6 linked regions of the Oryza sativa Japonica Group genome follow. The main gene of each other region encodes a partner of the protein of the gene in region 4 in a complex. Links are inferred from orthologs where the notes say so. Each region holds a gene or a part of one and is shown on either strand. Other genes may lie near its edges.

What was found.
Region 1: small ribosomal subunit protein bS6c (region 4) and small ribosomal subunit protein uS13c share a complex: the UniProt entries of both Arabidopsis thaliana proteins name them as parts of the 30S ribosomal subunit. The link is inferred for Oryza sativa Japonica Group from reciprocal best matches to the Arabidopsis thaliana genes AT1G64510 and EMB3137.
Region 2: small ribosomal subunit protein bS6c (region 4) and small ribosomal subunit protein cS23 share a complex: the UniProt entries of both Arabidopsis thaliana proteins name them as parts of the 30S ribosomal subunit. The link is inferred for Oryza sativa Japonica Group from reciprocal best matches to the Arabidopsis thaliana genes AT1G64510 and PSRP3/1.
Region 3: small ribosomal subunit protein bS6c (region 4) and rps4 share a complex: the UniProt entries of both Arabidopsis thaliana proteins name them as parts of the 30S ribosomal subunit. The link is inferred for Oryza sativa Japonica Group from reciprocal best matches to the Arabidopsis thaliana genes AT1G64510 and rps4.
Region 5: small ribosomal subunit protein bS6c (region 4) and 30S ribosomal protein S31, chloroplastic share a complex: the UniProt entries of both Arabidopsis thaliana proteins name them as parts of the 30S ribosomal subunit. The link is inferred for Oryza sativa Japonica Group from reciprocal best matches to the Arabidopsis thaliana genes AT1G64510 and PSRP4.
Region 6: small ribosomal subunit protein bS6c (region 4) and rps8 share a complex: the UniProt entries of both Arabidopsis thaliana proteins name them as parts of the 30S ribosomal subunit. The link is inferred for Oryza sativa Japonica Group from reciprocal best matches to the Arabidopsis thaliana genes AT1G64510 and rps8.

What each region holds. Positions count from the first base shown.
Region 1 is NC_089037.1:29,173,911-29,177,451, forward strand, and holds small ribosomal subunit protein uS13c, read left to right. Parts: upstream 1-1,139; 5' UTR 1,140-1,233; coding exon 1,234-1,332; intron 1,333-2,026; coding exon 2,027-2,266; intron 2,267-2,649; coding exon 2,650-2,826; 3' UTR 2,827-3,041; downstream 3,042-3,541. UniProt on the Arabidopsis thaliana protein: Located at the top of the head of the 30S subunit, it contacts several helices of the 16S rRNA.
Region 2 is NC_089038.1:23,520,269-23,523,687, forward strand, and holds small ribosomal subunit protein cS23, read left to right. Parts: upstream 1-1,309; 5' UTR 1,310-1,361; coding exon 1,362-1,631; intron 1,632-2,475; coding exon 2,476-2,757; 3' UTR 2,758-2,919; downstream 2,920-3,419. Other genes in the region: transcription factor MYB106, read left to right, coding at 1-342. UniProt on the Arabidopsis thaliana protein: Component of the chloroplast ribosome (chloro-ribosome), a dedicated translation machinery responsible for the synthesis of chloroplast genome-encoded proteins, including proteins of the transcription and translation machinery and components of the photosynthetic apparatus.
Region 3 is NC_001320.1:44,310-46,850, reverse strand, and holds rps4 (ribosomal protein S4), read left to right. Parts: upstream 1-1,435; coding exon 1,436-2,041; downstream 2,042-2,541. UniProt on the Arabidopsis thaliana protein: One of the primary rRNA binding proteins, it binds directly to 16S rRNA where it nucleates assembly of the body of the 30S subunit. With S5 and S12 plays an important role in translational accuracy.
Region 4 is NC_089037.1:36,416,191-36,419,911, forward strand, and holds small ribosomal subunit protein bS6c, read left to right. Parts: upstream 1-1,334; 5' UTR 1,335-1,366; coding exon 1,367-1,780; intron 1,781-2,671; coding exon 2,672-2,917; 3' UTR 2,918-3,221; downstream 3,222-3,721. Other genes in the region: uncharacterized protein, read right to left, coding at 1-164; uncharacterized protein, read right to left, coding at 3,589-3,607. UniProt on the Arabidopsis thaliana protein: Binds together with bS18 to 16S ribosomal RNA.
Region 5 is NC_089039.1:5,295,874-5,298,722, reverse strand, and holds 30S ribosomal protein S31, chloroplastic, read left to right. Parts: upstream 1-1,193; 5' UTR 1,194-1,239; coding exon 1,240-1,423; intron 1,424-1,641; coding exon 1,642-1,706; intron 1,707-1,790; coding exon 1,791-1,958; 3' UTR 1,959-2,349; downstream 2,350-2,849. Other genes in the region: pseudo histidine-containing phosphotransfer protein 2, read left to right, coding at 1-56, 155-227, 335-385.
Region 6 is NC_001320.1:76,198-78,556, reverse strand, and holds rps8 (ribosomal protein S8), read left to right. Parts: upstream 1-1,448; coding exon 1,449-1,859; downstream 1,860-2,359. Other genes in the region: rpl16 (ribosomal protein L16), read left to right, coding at 427-828; rpl14 (ribosomal protein L14), read left to right, coding at 938-1,309; infA (translation initiation factor 1), read left to right, coding at 1,996-2,319. UniProt on the Arabidopsis thaliana protein: One of the primary rRNA binding proteins, it binds directly to 16S rRNA central domain where it helps coordinate assembly of the platform of the 30S subunit.

The sequences.
Region 1 (3,541 bases), about 7.2 Mb from region 4:
CCAATGTTCTTATAAATCCCCACGTCCCAATTAACGATGCGGTGGAACTATCTGGTTGTTGTGGTTTTACAGTAAATCTTACTGCTCCCAATTGGATGGGCAACCTTATCCGTCGTTTTGAAATGATGTGTTATTTGCCACCAATTGTCCTATTATCTCCATTTATTTTATTTTCACTTGAGACATTTCTGCAAGATGATATTCAGAACGTTCCCCACAGATTATCCTAATACAAAATGCAATACGAATTAAACTTACATTTAGTAGTACCTAAACTGTTACATCTAGGATTATAAACGTGCTGAAATTCTTTATCCTCCCACAAAAACCCCAGAAATTTATATTCAGAGGAAGCTTATGCAGTTCTTTATCCTCCCACAAAAACCCCAGAAATTTATATTCAGAAGAAGCTTATGCAGCATAGCTGATCCTAAAGGCTACAACATATTCTTCTTTTTTTCCTAGAGAGAGGAGAATATTTTCTTTCGTGTTTACTCCCTCCATCTTAAAAAAAAGCTTAAAAAAAAGAAAGTCAGGAACATAACTTAAAAAAGCTTTAAAAAAAAAGAAAGTCAGGAACATAACTTAAGACTGTGTTCGGGAGGAACTCACCTCTCGCGCACGTAAAACGGAGCGAAGCATTTTCTTATGATTAATTAAGTATTTATTAATTGTTTTTGAAAAATGATTTTTTAAAAGCAACTTTTGTGTAGAAATCTTTAAAAAAACACATCGTTTAACCGTTTGAAAAGCGTGCATGCAGAACACAAGGGAGATGTGTTGGAAAAAGTGGGAAAAGAACACAGCCTAGTACTAACTTAATAGCCTAGTACTAACTTAGGGTGTGTTTAGTTCACGCTAAAATTGGAAGCTTGATTGAAATTAGAACGATGTGACAGAAAAGTTGGAAGTTTATGTGTGTAGGAAAGTTTTGATGTGATGTAAAAGTTGGAAGTTTGAAGAAAAAAATTGCAACTACGGCGTTATCTAGATATGGAGTACTCCTAGCTTGTTCTTTTTTCTTTTTCTTTTTTTAACAGAAGGAGTAAACTAGCGACTTGACCTGTTTGGGCCGTACCCTGCAAGGCCCAACCCAAGAAGTCGCCGATACAGTGGTAGCCTACAGGTGCGGCTACCTTATCGGCTTCCTTCCCGTTGGGTTCTATCCGAGACAGCACCGAGAGCTCCGGGAGAGAAGCGCACGCACCTCCGTCCCTCGTCGGGAGCGCAGAAATGGCGACCCTCTCGATGGTCTCCGTCCCCATCGCCACCTCCTCCCTGCCCCTCTCCGCCCGAGGCCGCAGCTCCTCCGTCTCCTTCCCCGTTCCCAAGGTGAGAAGCAAAGCCACCCCTCCCCCCGCCTCCCCCCTCCGCGCCCACTTCTTGTTCGGCCATTTGCTCGCTCGTCCTGTTCCTTGGTTCTGTGCGATTGATATGTGATTCACGCATGACGCATCGTACATCCGTATCACTTATTGCAACTCAACCCCTGGGATCGTTTTGTTATCTTTGCCATCTTGGAGGTTGGGGAGGCTAGTGGCCGTGCTTTGTGTACTACAGTACTAATTTTGAGTATGTGCAATTCAGTAGTTTTTTTTCCGTGATGTTGGAAGAACAGTGTTCCTGTGCAATTTTAGAATTATTGGCATCTGTGAGGAACTAGTATTTATATGCTTGTATGCTTATGAGTTTGAATCTCTGCCCCTAGCACATATCATGTTGGAAGAATGGATAGTGTTACGAAGTAGTATTTCTTTGGACAGCAGAGTGTATATGTAATTCATGTAGGGACTAGGAATAGCAAAGAAGGTTAATTATGCATATAGGATGTAAAAAGAATCGTAATTCCTTGTTAGTACTCCCTCAGTTTCATACTATAAGTAGTCAAAGTTCTTTAGGTTTGACCAAGTTTAAAGAAAAAATTTCCCCACCCCATTATCTTTACTTGCCCAGTCATTTGTAGGCCTGTGCTTTTAACTGTGTTGTGGTTTTGATTCTTTTTTTTTTATTATTGGGTACTGGACAGAAAGGGGGTATTGGTCATGGTGGCCTGCGGATCGAGTGCATTCGTATTGGTGGAGTGGAGATCCCGAACCACAAGAGGGTAGAGTACTCACTGCAGTACATCCATGGCATTGGGCGGTCACGCTCCCGTCAGATCCTCTTGGACCTCAATTTTGACAACAAGGTCACAAAGGACCTCTCCGAGGAGGAAGTCATCACTCTCCGTAAGGAGGTTACCAAGTACATGATTGAGGGAGACCTTGTAATGGCCCTATCCCTTGCTAATTCATCACTTAACTTTTTTTCTGTAATTTTGGTGATTAGTATGGTTACCCTACTTTGGTACTTCCTCCGTTTCACAATATAAGTCATTCTAGCATTTCCCACATTCATATTGATACTAATAAATCTAGATAGATATATATGTCTAGATTCATTAGCATCAATATGAATGTGGTAAATGTTAGAATGACTTACATTGTGAAACGGAGGGAGTAGCATGTTGAAGATTCCTTGAAATTTGGTACCCTTAAACTGATCGTTCTGAAAAAAAAAAGACTCTGTAGTTCTTTTCCCATTTCTGTCATCGTGGATTTATGTTGTGTTGCTAAAATAGAGTTCTGATGTGTTTGCCATGCTTTACAGAAACGGTTTAATCGTGTGGCGATTGAGAGGTTGAAGGAGATTAGGTGTTACAGGGGCATCCGCCACAAGCTAGGGCTGCCAGTTCGTGGACAGAGGACGAAGAACAATTGCAGGACGCTGAAGGGAAGGAGGGCTTCTGTTGCGAAGAAGAAGTCGCCTGCTTCCCAGGAGGAATAAGACACATTGCCATGTATTTACCTTTGGTTCTTTGCCTCTTGTTTATTTTTTGTGTTCTGCTTGACCACGCTCTTGTCTGGTATTATGAGATTTTATGTTGGTGTCGTCATAGATGAATCACGGGTTGTGATCTGTCACTGAAAAAGTTATATTTGTCACCTGTCTTACATGAACTGATGCTAAATTAAGGTTATACTATGTTTTTCAGTCCATCATCTTGCTGTCTCTCTTCTGTTGTCATATCTATGCTTGACCGACCTGTTCCTGATGAATTAACGTATCGCCAGTTTTCTGTCCATTTGTTCCACATGCCACCGTCAGATCTAATGCCTTGTTAACTTTACAAGCTGAAAGAGGAGTATCAGTGTAGCTGAATAATAATATTAGGAACCTGCCTTGCTGATAGCAGCAGACGGGGCTTTTAACTATTTGCCACTCTTACGAATGGTGCTTAACGATTTGCTACTAGACCCACATGTCATAGACACATGAGGGCCCACATGTTATTGGCAGGGTGTGGCAAATCGTTAATTGCCATGTCACAAGAGTGGCAAATAGTTAAATTTCCCGCAGCGGACACCAGTCGAGATTTTGGTTTTTTGTGAAGAGATGATTTAAACTTGAGTTACCAATTACCATGATTACCATGCGTGTGGTTGGAACATGGAACTTTCTGGAGAGAGCTGCTCGGCTCAATCTTGGCTTGTTCACTTTG
Region 2 (3,419 bases), on a different chromosome or scaffold from region 4:
CACGGCGCCGCCGCCGCGGCGGCCGCGCGCGCCGCCATGCAGCCCATGCAGGCGTACGACGAGGCGTGCAAGGACCAGCACTGGGGCGACGTCGACGCCGCCGACGTGGGCTTCCCCGGCGCCGGAGCGGGGTTCACGGGCCTACTCCTCGAAGGCTCCTTGAACCAGATCCCGAGGCCGGCGGGGAGAGACGCGGAAGCCGACGGCGAGTTCCAGGAGACCGAGGAGGAGAAGAACTACTGGAACAGCATACTGAACCTGGTGAACTCCTCGTCGGCACCTATGTCGACGGCCGTGGTTGTGCCCGCCTCCCACGCGTACTCGCCGGCGCCGGACTTCTGAGCGGAGAAAACCTCGCCGGCATCAAACTTGATTCGATCTCATGACACAGTAAATAGTTTAGCAATGATTGTCGAATAAGATGGGACTAATATTAATGTTAGTAATTATTAATCACGTTCTTGGGTTAACCTGACAATGCTTTCGATTAAACTTGTGGGCAAGAACTTCAACTGTTCAAGGCTGTATCGACATTTGAAATTCGATGCTTGTTTTGTTCGGTGTTCTTATAGAATGTGTAAAACACTGAAACTACTATCAGAGAATGTAGCATCCTTACTTGCAAAGTTACTACTCCTGCTTGTTTTTTTTCAAAACTTACGATCATTTCAGTACTTTGTACCCGGTTCATTTCATTCCACTATCAGTTTTTACTACGCCCAAGCGGTTGGCAACTGGGCACTAGCACTACTGAAGGCCAGGGTTTCCCAAACCACCGGACCGGGGTTACCACACGGTAACCGTGTAAAATTTATCAAAATTTAAAATTATTTTTTAAATTTATTTGAATTTAAGGGGGTTACCGCGGTTTCCCTTTTACCGTACCCCACGGTAAGCGCGGTAATCGCACGGTTACAGACGGTTTTGCAAACCCTGCTGAAGGCAAACGGACGGCCTCATCTTTTCGCTTATACTTATGTTTATCAGTCAAAATTTAAATTTTTACCTTTAAATTTGGGGTTGATTTTATTTTTTTTATCGAAGGTTTATTTTTCAGTCTTTGCTTTTAGATCGTTAAAAATATATATATAAAAGATTTATTCACAAATTATTTTTTATTTACAAATATGCCATTTCGTTTATTCTCGAATAACCGAGACGATTGAGCTGTGAGCTTTTTACTTAGATTGGATCTGGGCCGGGCCGTTTTGTGCTGGGCCATATTGGGCTTTACCATAACTTTCTAGCCCACATCTAATAGCTGACGAGAAGGGGATTATTAAGGGTAAAGATAAGAGGAGGCAGCCCCGCACCATCGTCTTCCTCCTCTTATCCGCACAGGAGCCTCGGACTCGGACACGATGCTGGCGATGTCCGTCCACCCCGCCGCCACGCCGGCCCTCGCCTCGCGCGCCCGCATCTCCCGGCCCAAGCTTTCCGCCGCCTCCCCCTGCACCACCTCCTCCTCCTCCACTCCACGCCTCGTCCACCTCGGCAGCAGGAGGCTTCCCCTTCGCTCGCTCCGTGGCCTCGCCGCCGCCGCCGCTTCTGGCGCCGTCGAAGCGGAGGAGGGAGAAGAGGAGAAGCAAGTCGGAGGTGGGGATGCGAGCGCCGGCGAGGAAGCGCAGGAGGTAATGGGCTAGTAGCCGCTCCAAACCATGCCAGTGACTGAAATTACGGGGTTTTTTTTTTTACCGAGTCGAGCTCAATTTCAGAAGGAAGTGTTGTTTTTTGAAGAGGATGGAGTTCAATCACATTTGGTTTCGCATGAATTTGATTTTTCTTGAATCAATTTTGGTTACCGAACTGATTACTTGAGCTCATAGGTGAAATACAGTACGAGGTGTACATTTGGGTGAATTCACGAGTAGAGTAAATCTTTAGACACAATGCACAGCTGAAAGCTTAAGAGAAGTCACAAGTAGAGTAAATTAGAGAAGTTCTAGTCTAGTTGAGCATGTTTGGGCACTCGGGCTGTCCTTTTGGTGCAGTTTTGCACTTCTGCAGATAAAAGGTGTATGCTAGTGATGAAGAGGCGAAGAGCACATGAAAGCATGTCCACAAACTTGAGCGTGTGCCATTTTTGGTTGTATGTGTAAGCAAGAACTGAACTATTGAACAAACTGTAGCATTGACAGGTTTTGGTCATGAAAGGAGTTTTTTTTCATTCAGCTATTTACGTGATTATGTAACAACATTAACAGGCACAATAAGTTCCTTTTTCATCACTATATCAGATTTCAGAGATGTACACTAAAAGTGGATTAGTTTTGATTATATGGGAGTTACCCTCACAGTTGAAAAATGGGGCCTTTTGTAGAGAAATGAAGTTGTCAATGGAACACGTACAGTAGTTGTTGCAATTTATTTTACTACGACTTGAGCTGTGTTAAAACTGCACAATTTATTTTACTCAGATATGCAAAATCAGTATTAGCATTATGAGATTTGAAACGAATTGATTTTGTATCGCAGTACAAGGTTAAGGTGCCTGAAAGGCAGGATCCAATGCTTGTTCTGAAGTTCATATGGATGGAGAAGAACATTGGCATAGCCCTCGACCAGTTGGTTCCCGGCTATGGCAGCATTCCGTTAAGCCCATACTACTTCTGGCCACGGAAAGATGCCTGGGAGGAGCTAAGAGCAAAGCTGGAGGAGAAAGAGTGGATCTCTCAGAAACAGATGATCATCCTTCTGAATCAGGCCACTGATATCATCAACCTTTGGCAACAGGGTGGTGGCAGCTTGTCAACCTAAGAGGATATCTCAATTCTCCCATCCTTGAGAACCTTGTTTCTTTTTTTCTTGCTTTGGTTACACGGATCTTTGTTGTTACATGACCCTGTAGATCGATTCAAACTGTTTTCGGATACGGTTTTGTTTATGGAAATGAATTGTGATTGATCTCTGTAAGGTAAACGATTTGGGCTCCATCATCCGCAGGGAAGATTGCTAATACCTCTTGATACTACTATACCATGATCCAGTTAAATAAATGTAACTCGATATTTTGAACTTGAAGAAAAAGGGGAATTTCTTTTCTTTCGAAGAGATTTGGGGTCACGGGGGCATATACCCCTTCTACTGCGATTAACTAACACCGGTGATGCCCTGAAAAAGCCCGGCCCGCTCCGCGCACCACGAGCCTAGGCCGTCCACGCGTAGGCCTCTGCAAAACGGGCTGCGGCAACGCGTGAGCCTGTGCGAAACGAGCGTGAAAACGCTCGTGGACTCGTGGAGTCGTCGTGGTGCCCGCGCGTCGTGCTGCGACGCTCGTTCTCACGCCGCATGCAGCGCCGCGCCAGCTTGGTCACGGTCTCAAAAGCGTTCAAAAGGCATGGGAGCAACTGAGCAAGGCGTAGCAGCTTATCATCATCTCGGCCAAGGGGGGAGGAGGGGCAAGGCACATGGAGGCGTTG
Region 3 (2,541 bases), on a different chromosome or scaffold from region 4:
GTATTAGATTTCGAAAGCCCTTCTTTCCCTAATTTAGAAGGGAGTTCCGCTAGCAACACAACGTAATTAACTCGATTCGTTAGAACAGCTTCCATTGAGTCTCTGCACCTATCCTTTTCCTTTGGGTTCTAGTTCGAGAACCGCTTGTTTTCTCAAAACATGGATTTGGCTCAGGATTGCCCCTTTTTTAATTCCAGGGTTTCTCTGAATTTGGAAGTTGCCACTTAGCAGGTTTCCATACCAAGGCTCAATACAATCAAGTCCGTAGCGTCTACCGATTTCGCCATATCCCCATTTTCTTTTTCTTTGAGACCAGGATTCCTTGTGCAATTTCCTCCATCTGTTAGTTTTTTTTGAATCGTTGAATTCATTACTCTATGTAGTCTAGCGGTTCGTCTCTAGTTGAGAGACTCCGCTTATTGCAATTCAGCATTGAATTGATTCTATCGTTGATGTATTTGCAATTCAATGCGAATCAATATATCCCAAGGTTTTTCTCTCCCCCACCTACCGCGTTCCTTTTTTAGAGTATTCAAAATCATACTATAACGCTTGATATTCATTCTTTTTTTTTGCTAATCAGAATTAGCAATTTCATTTGCTATGATTCTATGTTCTCCTTAGTGAAATATTAATCATTAAATTATTAGCAAATAACAAAAAAAAACAAAATAATCTCAAAAAATGTCTATAATGATGGACTGAAAATACAAGAAATTCGCATGTTCTCTTTATTATGTTTTCGTATATAATATATATTATTTATTCTTTTCCATGTATTAGATTATTCGTCCGAGCCATATCAAATTAAAAATATCTAAAATCAAATTCAATATAGAAATTGGAATAGATTCTATTAGAAAAATAGATTTGCGAATTAGAGAAAAAAGAAAGTTCAAAAAAATCTATCTAACTTTATTTTATGAAGTTCTAGTATTTTTTTCTAAGTAGAACTTCCAATTTCGAACTAGTTAATAGCTAAGATTAATAATTAAGATCTGACATTTTACGGATTTCCTATACTATACATATTTCTATTTGTTACACTATTTCTGTTATGTAAGCCCACTTAGCTCAGAGGTTAGAGCATCGCATTTGTAATGCGAGGGTCATCGGTTCAAATCCGATAGTCGGCTTTTTTCTCTATCAATGTTCCATGAACAAAAATACCTCTTTTTCTCCGAATTAAATGGAGAAGCCAGGATCTATTATGTCGGTCTACCCTACAATTTTGCTAGATACAAAACAATAAAATAAATAATATATATACAAAAATTCAGATGTTGATGAAATTCCATTTTTTTGTGGTACTTTTAGTAGATTTTACTCTGTTTATCCTTTACTTTAATTCAGTTTTAATTTCGATGTATTCTGTAATGTAAATACAATGAAATTAATTGTGTAAAATGAAATTTCAATAAAAAAAGGAGTCTTCATGTCCCGTTATCGAGGACCTCGTTTTAAAAAAATACGCCGTCTGGGAGCTTTACCAGGACTCACTAGAAAAACACCTAAATCCGGAAGTAATCTGAAAAAGAAATTCCATTCTGGGAAAAAAGAACAATATCGTATTCGTCTTCAAGAAAAACAGAAATTGCGTTTTCATTATGGTCTGACAGAACGACAATTACTTAGATATGTACATATCGCTGGAAAAGCAAAAAGTTCAACAGGTCAGGTTTTACTACAATTACTTGAAATGCGTTTGGATAATATCCTTTTTCGATTAGGTATGGCTTCAACCATTCCCGAGGCCCGGCAATTAGTTAACCATAGACATATTTTAGTTAATGGTCGTATAGTCGATATACCAAGTTTTCGTTGCAAACCCCGAGATATTATTACTACGAAGGATAACCAAAGATCAAAACGTCTGGTTCAAAATTCTATTGCTTCATCCGACCCGGGGAAATTGCCAAAGCATTTGACGATTGACACATTGCAATATAAAGGACTAGTAAAAAAAATCCTGGATAGGAAGTGGGTCGGTCTCAAAATAAATGAGTTGTTAGTTGTAGAATATTACTCTCGTCAAACTTGAACTTAAGGAAAAACGGAAAGGTTCATAGAATTTTTCTTCCCTTCCCCTTTCCCCGAACTAAATCGACCTAAGGCTCTTAATTCGTATTTTCCCATTCACCTAACAGAAATGGATTAACCCTAGGATTCCTTTTTGTTTTTTGTTCTTTCCTCTATGTGTATTTTACATACCATAGTAATTTGGTATAGAGAATTTCTATTAAATAAAGGTATTGTATTATTGCTGGAATAAATTGTCATTTGATTTGATACATTGTAATCATTAACGTTGCTGAATTAAGAAAAACGGAAAGAGAGGGATTCGAACCCTCGGTAAACAAAAGTCTACATAGCAGTTCCAATGCTACGCCTTGAACCGCTCGGCCATCTCTCCTCCATAATCTTATTATGGAAAAAAAACTGAGTGAATAGCGAGTTTTCCTATTCCTGCAGTACAGGTACAACCACAACCGCGCGAGAGTTCCATTGTTCTATTAGATAGAAAAATTCCTTTTCATCTAA
Region 4 (3,721 bases):
AAGCCGACGGCCCCCTCGATCTTCTCCCCGATGTCGTGGATGAAGTCCTTCACCTTCTCCATGAATCCCCCGCCTCCTTCCTTCTTTTCGCCGCCGTCGTCGTCCCGGCGGTCCTTCCCGCCGCCACGCTCCGTCACCGTGGGGTTCTCCGACGAAGACGACATGCTCGCTAACTTCAGGTAGCAACAACAACAAGCGATCGAATCAAGATCTCACAGCAAGATCAAATCAAGCAAACAGATCGCACGCCATTGCTAACTCCACAAGAATCACCAAAGACTTGATCACAAGAAAGATTGCTTTCTTTTCTCTTTCCTATTCTACACGGCTAGGCTACACACGGCAACAAGATCTGAGGCACAAATATCCTCCAAAACGAAGCGAGAGCAAGTAGAAAGAAACATAGATTGATTTTTTCTTACTTTACCTGTGGGTTGATGCGGAGATCTGGACGAAGCGAGTGGAGATCGCGAGCGGAATGGAGAAATTTAGAGAGAGAAGAAGAAGAAGCACGCGGAGAGATGAGCAGAGCAGAGCACGAGCTTATCGTGGAGCAAGTACGGCGTGGGGCCCACTTGCAGTGACACGAACGGACTGCCAGCTCAGCTATACTGTCGGCTGGACACGAAGTCAGAGGCAAAGCGAGAATTTTTTTCATTTTTAAATTTTTATTTTTTAATATTTAAAAAATATTATACCATCCAAAATATTTACATAAATTACCCCTGACACCTAAGGGTGAGTTTGAGAGGAGGGGAAAAGAGAAGATTGGGAAGATACGTAAAACGAGGTGAGCTATTAGTACATGATTAATTGAGTATAAACTATTTTAAACTTTAAAAATAGATTAATATGATTTTTTAAAGCAACTTTCATATAGAAAATTTTTGCAAAAAACACACCGTTAGTAGTTCGAGAAGCGTGCGTGCGAAAAATGAAACAAACTAACTCACAAACTCCTCCTGCCGAACGCTCCCTAAGTGGAGGGTGGCAAGGTGTGCGTATTTTGCACCGAGATATAATGCAATTTTCACCTTGTAAAAAATACAGTTTTCTAGTTTTTTTTATCTTGTCCGTCCTCACATCACCTTGCCGCCCTCGGGATCTACTTCTGTAAATGTTTTCGCCGTACAATATTTCTGTAAATATTAAAAAATAAAAATTTAAAAATGAAAAAACTTAGGCAAAGCGAAGTGGCTGGAACCTTTACCTGGGCCAATCAAAAGCCGGTCCATTTGGCCCACTAACCCCGGCCCAACAAAAACCGGTTTAATGGGCCTCCATCTAAAAATCCTATCCTTATCTATCCACTGGACACGAAGGCAACACACCTCGCCTACCTCCACTCTCTCGCGCTCGCTCTCCAATGCCGCCACCAATGGCGCTCTCCATCTCCTCCACCGCCGCGGCGACCGCTCTCCTCCCGACTCTCCCGCCCTCGCGCTCGCGCCTGCGCGTCGCGCCGCGCAGGGCGGCGGCTCGGGTGGCGCGCGTGGTGTCGGCCGGATACGCCGCGGGGTTCTACGGCGGGGCGGCGGCTGCGGCCGGTGGCGAGAACGACGAGGTGGGGGATGAGGAGGGTTCGTCCTCGGGGTTCGGTGCTGGGCTAGGGATAGGAGGCGGTGGGCTTGGGATGTCGGCCGCGGAGGCGGCGCTGGCGCTGGAGGAGCGGGAGATGCCGCCGTGCCCGCCCGGGCTTCGCCAGTACGAGACCATGGTCGTGCTCCGCCCCGACATGTCCGAGGAGGAGCGCCTCGCCCTCATACAGCGTTACGAGGAGGTAAAAATCAAAATTACTAGTAAATAATTAGCTGCACTGACTAGGCGCCAATGCATTTGCTATCTGCTGCAGTAGACATGAATTTCCGAGGAAGATTTGTAGTGGCCAATGCATGAGAATTTTATCTTTTGCCAGTTTATGGTAAATCGGGCTGAATTTATGGCACACTGGTAAAACTCAAAATCACTACTAGTGGTAAATAATTAGCTGCATTGACTAGACGCCAATGCATTTTGGATTTGGGCTATGCTGCAGACCTGCTCCTGCAGTTGACATGAATTTCTAGGAAGGTTTGTACTGGCCAATGCATGAACTTGTCATCTTTTCCCAGTTTATGGTAAACCAGGATGAGTTAATGGCATACTTGTTTCTTATTAAAAATGCTGTCATTTGGCTCGTTCTGTCATTAACATTGCTTAAAATCATATATCAGTCATTGTAGGTGAAGCTGAAGCAAATCATTTTGTTGCAAATGTATACTTTCTGGTCAACAGCTACAGCCCCATATTATTTGCGTATGTCATAGTGGAGATACAGGAAGCATAAAATTGTTTCTGCTGTAGAACATACGTTTACTACAGAACCTACCAAAAAAATAGTTTTGTTATTATATATCCATCATTCCATCCTGCGCGCACAATCTCCTGCATTGTTTAGTAGGAGTAGTAGCAATCACCAGTTAACACGCATTCAAGTTTACCTTGGTCTTTTTTTTTTTTTGTCCCATAATTGTCTTGGTTGATGATCAATCAAGCCTCTTGCCCATTCTGTAACCTTAAATTTGATGGTATCCTGAAGTGTGACTTCACTCCATAAGATGTTCACTTGCTACAAACCTATCTGCAATTTGCTTACTGAGTTACTTATGGTGGTTTTTCGCATGTCTTGCAGCTCCTTGTTGCGGGTGGCGCCATGTATGTGGAAGTCTTCAACCGAGGAGTCATCCCACTGGCATACAGCATCAGGAAGAGGAACAGCAGGACTGGTTTGCCATCCACCTACTACGACGGAATCTACCTCCTTGTGACATACTTCACCAAGCCTGAATCCCTGGATGCTCTGCAAATGAGGCTCAATGCTGACGACGATGTCATCCGCTCAACCAGTTTCAAGGTCCGCAAGCGGAAAGCCTTTTAAGATCAGTTTCACCACCTGGACTCAGGTTTCCATGTTTTGGGGAATATGTTTATATCATACAAGAATCCTACTGCCATGGGAGGAGATTGGTTTTTCGCTGCAATCGTTGAGAAAAAATGTCGCCCTTTCTGTTGATAATTTAGAAGAAATTTGTCTTCCTTTTTTTTCGTTATAGCACTGCTCTGATCTTACCTGGTACTCCTACACGTTAAGGGATATTGAACGAACACTTTTGTGGAGCATGGCCTGCTGGGGCCTCTGGAACAAGTTATGCTGTTAACAAAATCAGGGCTCATTTCCTGTACGCCATGGCATTTCATTTATAGGCTGCCTTACCGTGCATTTCATTTGTTGAGTTTTGATCATTTGTTTAACATCAAGACTACCAGGGCATTTAGCTGATAAGAGGGCAAAACACACTGATGGCTGGGAAAAACTAGTTTTGATTAACACAAAATCGTCTTTGGTACACCATAAGTATGATATAAAGTAGTATATGCTGGCCAACCATAGTAGGTCAGAAACAAATGCATACAGCACAGTCTGACGGCATATATCCATGCTCCAGAGTTCTTCAGTAAAAGCTCAACAAACACAATATCTCGGAGGACCACAAGTATCATGTAGAAAAACCAGAATACTCCAAAATCAGCCATCATGGAGCACCAGATTCAGTATCTATCGTGGCGCCTGAAAATAACAACTGTCTAATGTTAGCTCCTAGTGATATAAAGGTTTCCATATCAAAAGCAGATAATTTCATTGTGTTTCTTTGTCATTATACTGTCAAAAGTTTATGGTCGG
Region 5 (2,849 bases), on a different chromosome or scaffold from region 4:
ATGAAGAATGAGTGCTCTGTGTTCAAAGTAAACTGCAATGACAGGAATCTGGAAGGGTATGCATTTCATTGACTCGTCCAACTTGTTCTTCACATACTATCCAATCATCATGCAATTTCCTCACATGATGTGATGAGGCCATGTTCTCTTTCAGATGCCGCAGGTCTCTTCAGAAGATGAAGAGGGAGCATGCCACTCTGAAGCAGAAGCTGGAATCATATTTTCAGGTATGTTGTACTACATCCTTGTCTCTCTCTCTTTCTGTTTACCTTATTTTCAGCATTGCTACATGGCTAAACAACTTGGTTATCTCCTGTTCCTTCTGCTGATGCAGTTACTGAGGCAAGTTGGTCCCCGTGATTATGCAGTGAGCTCAAGGAAGTAAGAAGAACAGTATGAGTTCCAAGGAAAATAAAGAACATATACATAGCAGCTATCAGTCTCTTGAAAATTCTGTCGCTGAAAAGTTTTTGTGCCAATCAGATACTCATAATGCTTAATGGTGCCTTTTTGTTGTGTTTGGATTGCATCTGTAGCTCCATAATCCATATATACTGTATGAAGTTATGTAAAGCCCTGCTTATGCACACTCTCCTTGCCTGTCTACAAAGTGCCATGAACTTGTGTTATTAGTCAGTAATTGTAGCAGAAAGTGTCATGGTACTAATATGAGCTTTTAATGTTTGAAACTAGTAATATGTAAACTAGTTTTTTGGGTTAATTAATTGCCCAGGTGCCATCATGGAAAACTATTTGTTTGTACTTTGTATACTCAACAAACGCTATAGTCACATTCCCAGAACCAAAGACACTTAAAAACACTGGTTTTTCATCTCTTCCACTAATATTCATAACAGTGTTTGAGCTTTAACCATCAATATCATTTTGAACGTTTCGATTTCTAAAATCTTAAAAACGTTATGGCTAGATTTGTCTTCAGAAGTCCTAAAAATATCATAACTTTGCTATATTCTTCATAAGTTTTATACTAGTAGTAATAATTTAATCATAAAAAAATGATTATCTATAGAAAAAGAAATGAGAGGACAAAAAAAAAAGAAAGAGAAACATCAGAATTGCAGAGGGCCAAGCCAATCATGGGCTTGGTCCATAGGCCCAAGAGACAAAGCCCAATCCATGGGCCTGGGCTTCCCTTTCCCTCCGTTTTATCTACTCCGATGCACGCACAGCTTATCCGATTCCATCCATTCCTCAAGCTCTCACTCCTCTCTCGCTTCCATGGCGCTCCTCGCCGTCCACGCCATGGCCGCGTCCCCGGCCACCTTCCCCTCCTCCCACCACCACGCCGCCGTCTCCTCCTACTGCGCGCTCCCCGCCGCCGCCGCATTCTCCCGCTCCCGCTCTCGCGTCGCCGCCGCCGCCGCCGCCACCCTCTCGGCCCCGCTCACTCCAGTTCTTGAAGGTAACTGACATGCCTACCTAACCTCCCTGTCTCTGTTTTGTTCGTCAATTCGGATTAGTCTGGTGTGAAATTGGCTCGATGATCTTATATGAAACTGCTTTTCAAATCGTATTGCACGAATTCAATTGATACAGCACCAAAACATAGATTGAAACAAAAACCTCGCAGTTTGAACCAATTACGATTCCAACTCAAATTACTCCATTTGGTGTGACCAGTTTACTGCGGGAGAGGGGACAAGAAGACCAAGAGGGGAAAAAGGTTCAACCACTCGTACGGAAATGTGAGTCTCTAGCACAAAAATAAAATTAATAAAAAAATCATATGCTTATTGCTTCCTGTGCTGCTGTTTGCTGCAATTCTTCAGACTTGCCATCTGCTGACTGCTGTTTGCTCATCTCAGGCGAGGCCGCGCAACAAGAAGAAGGGAACTGGCCCTGCACGGCTGTTCGCGCCGCCTGCGCCTCCGAGGAAGGACCAGTTCGACGACGGCGAGGTCACCCCGATCGACATCGACGATGACATCCTGGAATAGGTTGTCTGAATTTCCCCCCTTGAATTATGGTTTACCTTGAGCTTACCTTTTGTCTAGTCTGTACCAAACACTGTTTCTTGAAATTAATTACAGTACATTACATGGTCTCATTCTACATAATGTAGATGCCTATGATTTCTTTCCTTGTAATATATATGAATGGTGCTGCTTAGAGTCATTTTTTATGCATTACCAGCTGAAGCAGAACATAAGTACAGATACAATCACCAAACTTTCATGTTCTTGCTAGAAACCAGGGAAGATGCAGTATCTCTTTTTTTTTTCTTTTCTAGCTGTGTCCCTGAATTCAAGCACCTTTTGACATGCTTCGAATTTGTTGTGATGATCTGGGAAGCAGTTCTTAAGAATCAACTAATAAACCAGTCCATCAGATCGGGTCAGAAATCTGCCCCTTTTTTGTTGTTTTGTCTGTTGACTCTGTTATGCGCTTGAGTTTTGACACAAGAAATTGTTTTGATGATCTGCAAAACATATTCCTTTAAAGCTGGACAACAAACCAGTTCAACTGGTCAGCTTGGTGGTAATTGTATGTTAAAATTCTGTCATTTTTTGTTGTTTCGTCTGCAAGTTTGTTGTGAGCTGCTCCCCCCGCCCACAAGGGTAAGCAACTATCTCGCCCGAAATATACTACAATTTTGGCCCAAACTGGAAGTGTAAACCCTGCTACGCAATGGCTTTAAGAACCCTAAACCCTGAAGCATGTTTTGTTTGCTACCATTTCAAGCCATCACAAATTTTGGTAAGATAACGAACCAAATATGTTCGAGTATCCCTACCTTACCAAAATTTGGTAACGTACGAAACAAACCCGCCATCTGTTCAAAAATTTGGTGAAGTAACAAACCAAACATTTTCCCACAGTCCTAACAT
Region 6 (2,359 bases), on a different chromosome or scaffold from region 4:
TTGTCTTATTTGATAAGGTTATGAATTAACAAATAAGACAGGAAAGAGTAAATATTCGCCCGCGAAATTTTTATTGAATTAGAATACTTTACCGCGATTCAATAAGAGTAAAATAAAAAAAGGAGATTAAAAAAAAAAAAAAAAAGAATTACATTAAATATAGAATATAGATAAATAAACATACACATCTAGATATATTCTAGATCCTCTTTCTTGACTATATATTTTAGTATTTTAATAAATTCAATATTAAAAACCCTAACCTTTCCTATTAATGTGTATCTATCCGTAATATTTTAGAATATTGTGGAATTAGAGAAATTTGGCACACTTTCTCATTTGATTCGCGAGGAGCTGGATGAGAAGAAACTCTCATGTCCAGTTTTGCAGTAGAGATGGAACTAAGAGAGAACCATCGACTATAACCCCAAAAGAACCAGATTTCGTAAACAACATAGAGGAAGAATGAAGGGAAAATCCTACCGAGGCAATTGTATTTGTTTTGGTAGATATGCTCTTCAAGCACTTGAACCCACTTGGATTACGGCGAGGCAGATAGAAGCAGGACGAAGAGCAATGACACGATATGCACGTCGTGGTGGAAAAATCTGGGTACGTATATTTCCCGACAAACCGGTTACAATAAGACCGACCGAAACACGTATGGGTTCGGGAAAGGGATCCCCCGAATATTGGGTAGCCGTTGTTAAACCAGGTCGAATACTTTATGAAATGGGCGGAGTATCCGAAACTGTAGCTAGACGAGCTATTTCCATAGCTGCCAGCAAAATGCCCATACGAAGTCAATTTCTTCGGTTAGAAATATAACCCCCCAAAAAAAGTAGTATTGAAAATAAAAAACCAGGTTCTTCTTTCTGGAAAGACAATATTTCTTTCATCCTTTTGCATTGAAATAACAAATTGAAATCAAAATAATATGATTCAACCTCAGACCCTTTTAAATGTAGCAGATAACAGTGGAGCTCGAAAATTGATGTGTATTCGAGTCATAGGAGCTGCTAGTAATCAGCGATATGCTCGTATTGGTGATGTTATTGTTGCTGTAATCAAAGACGCAGTGCCCCAAATGCCTCTAGAAAGATCCGAAGTAATTCGAGCTGTAATTGTACGTACATGTAAAGAGTTCAAATGCGAAGACGGTATAATAATACGCTATGACGACAATGCAGCGGTTATCATTGATCAAAAAGGAAATCCAAAAGGAACTCGCGTTTTTGGCGCGATCGCCGAGGAATTGAGAGAATTGAATTTTACTAAAATAGTTTCATTAGCTCCTGAAGTATTATAAATACTAGTAGACAAGATATAGATCAAATAAAAAATTAGTAGATTGTGTTTCACGTATATGCTTTAGAATCCAAAACGAAAAGAAAAAAGAGAACATGTTGATTATAGAAAAATTAGGAGGAACCTAGAATTAGAGTCTTATGGGCAAGGACACTATTGCTGATTTACTAACCTCTATAAGAAACGCGGACATGAATAAAAAAGGAACTGTTCGGGTAGTATCTACAAATATTACCGAAAACATTGTTAAAATACTTCTACGAGAGGGTTTTATTGAAAGTGTTCGGAAACATCAGGAAAGTAACAGATATTTCTTGGTTTCAACTTTGCGACATCAAAAGAGAAAGACTAGAAAGGGAATATATAGAACTAGAACCTTTTTAAAGCGTATCAGCCGACCTGGCTTACGAATTTATGCCAACTATCAAGGAATTCCTAAGGTTTTGGGCGGAATGGGAATTGCTATTCTTTCTACTTCTCGAGGTATAATGACAGATCGAGAAGCTCGACTAAACAGAATTGGGGGAGAAGTCTTATGTTATATATGGTAATCGCCCGCCTATAGCGGTAATCGCCCCACCTATAGTTATAGTACCCAAATTCTATCTTGAACTTCCTATTTTTCAAACAAAAATACAACGTTTTTTTATTTGAAAATAAAAAAAGAAAAATAGGAGAAAAAAAAATATGACAGAAAAGAAAAATAGGAGAGAAAAAAAAAACCCGAGAGAAGCAAAAATTACTTTCGAGGGTTTAGTTATGGAAGCCCTACCCAACGGAATGTTCCGCGTTCGCCTAGAGAATGACACCATCATCCTGGGCTATATTTCAGGAAAGATCCGGTCTAGTTCTATACGAATACTGATGGGGGATAGGGTCAAAATTGAAGTAAGTCGTTATGATTCAAGCAAGGGGCGTATAATTTATAGACTTCCCCATAAGGATTCGAAGCGTACCGAAGACTCGAAGGATACCGAAGATTTGAAGGATACCAAAGATTCAAAGGGTTAGGTTTTTCTTTTTTTTTTCTAGGGTAAAAAATTCAAAGTTC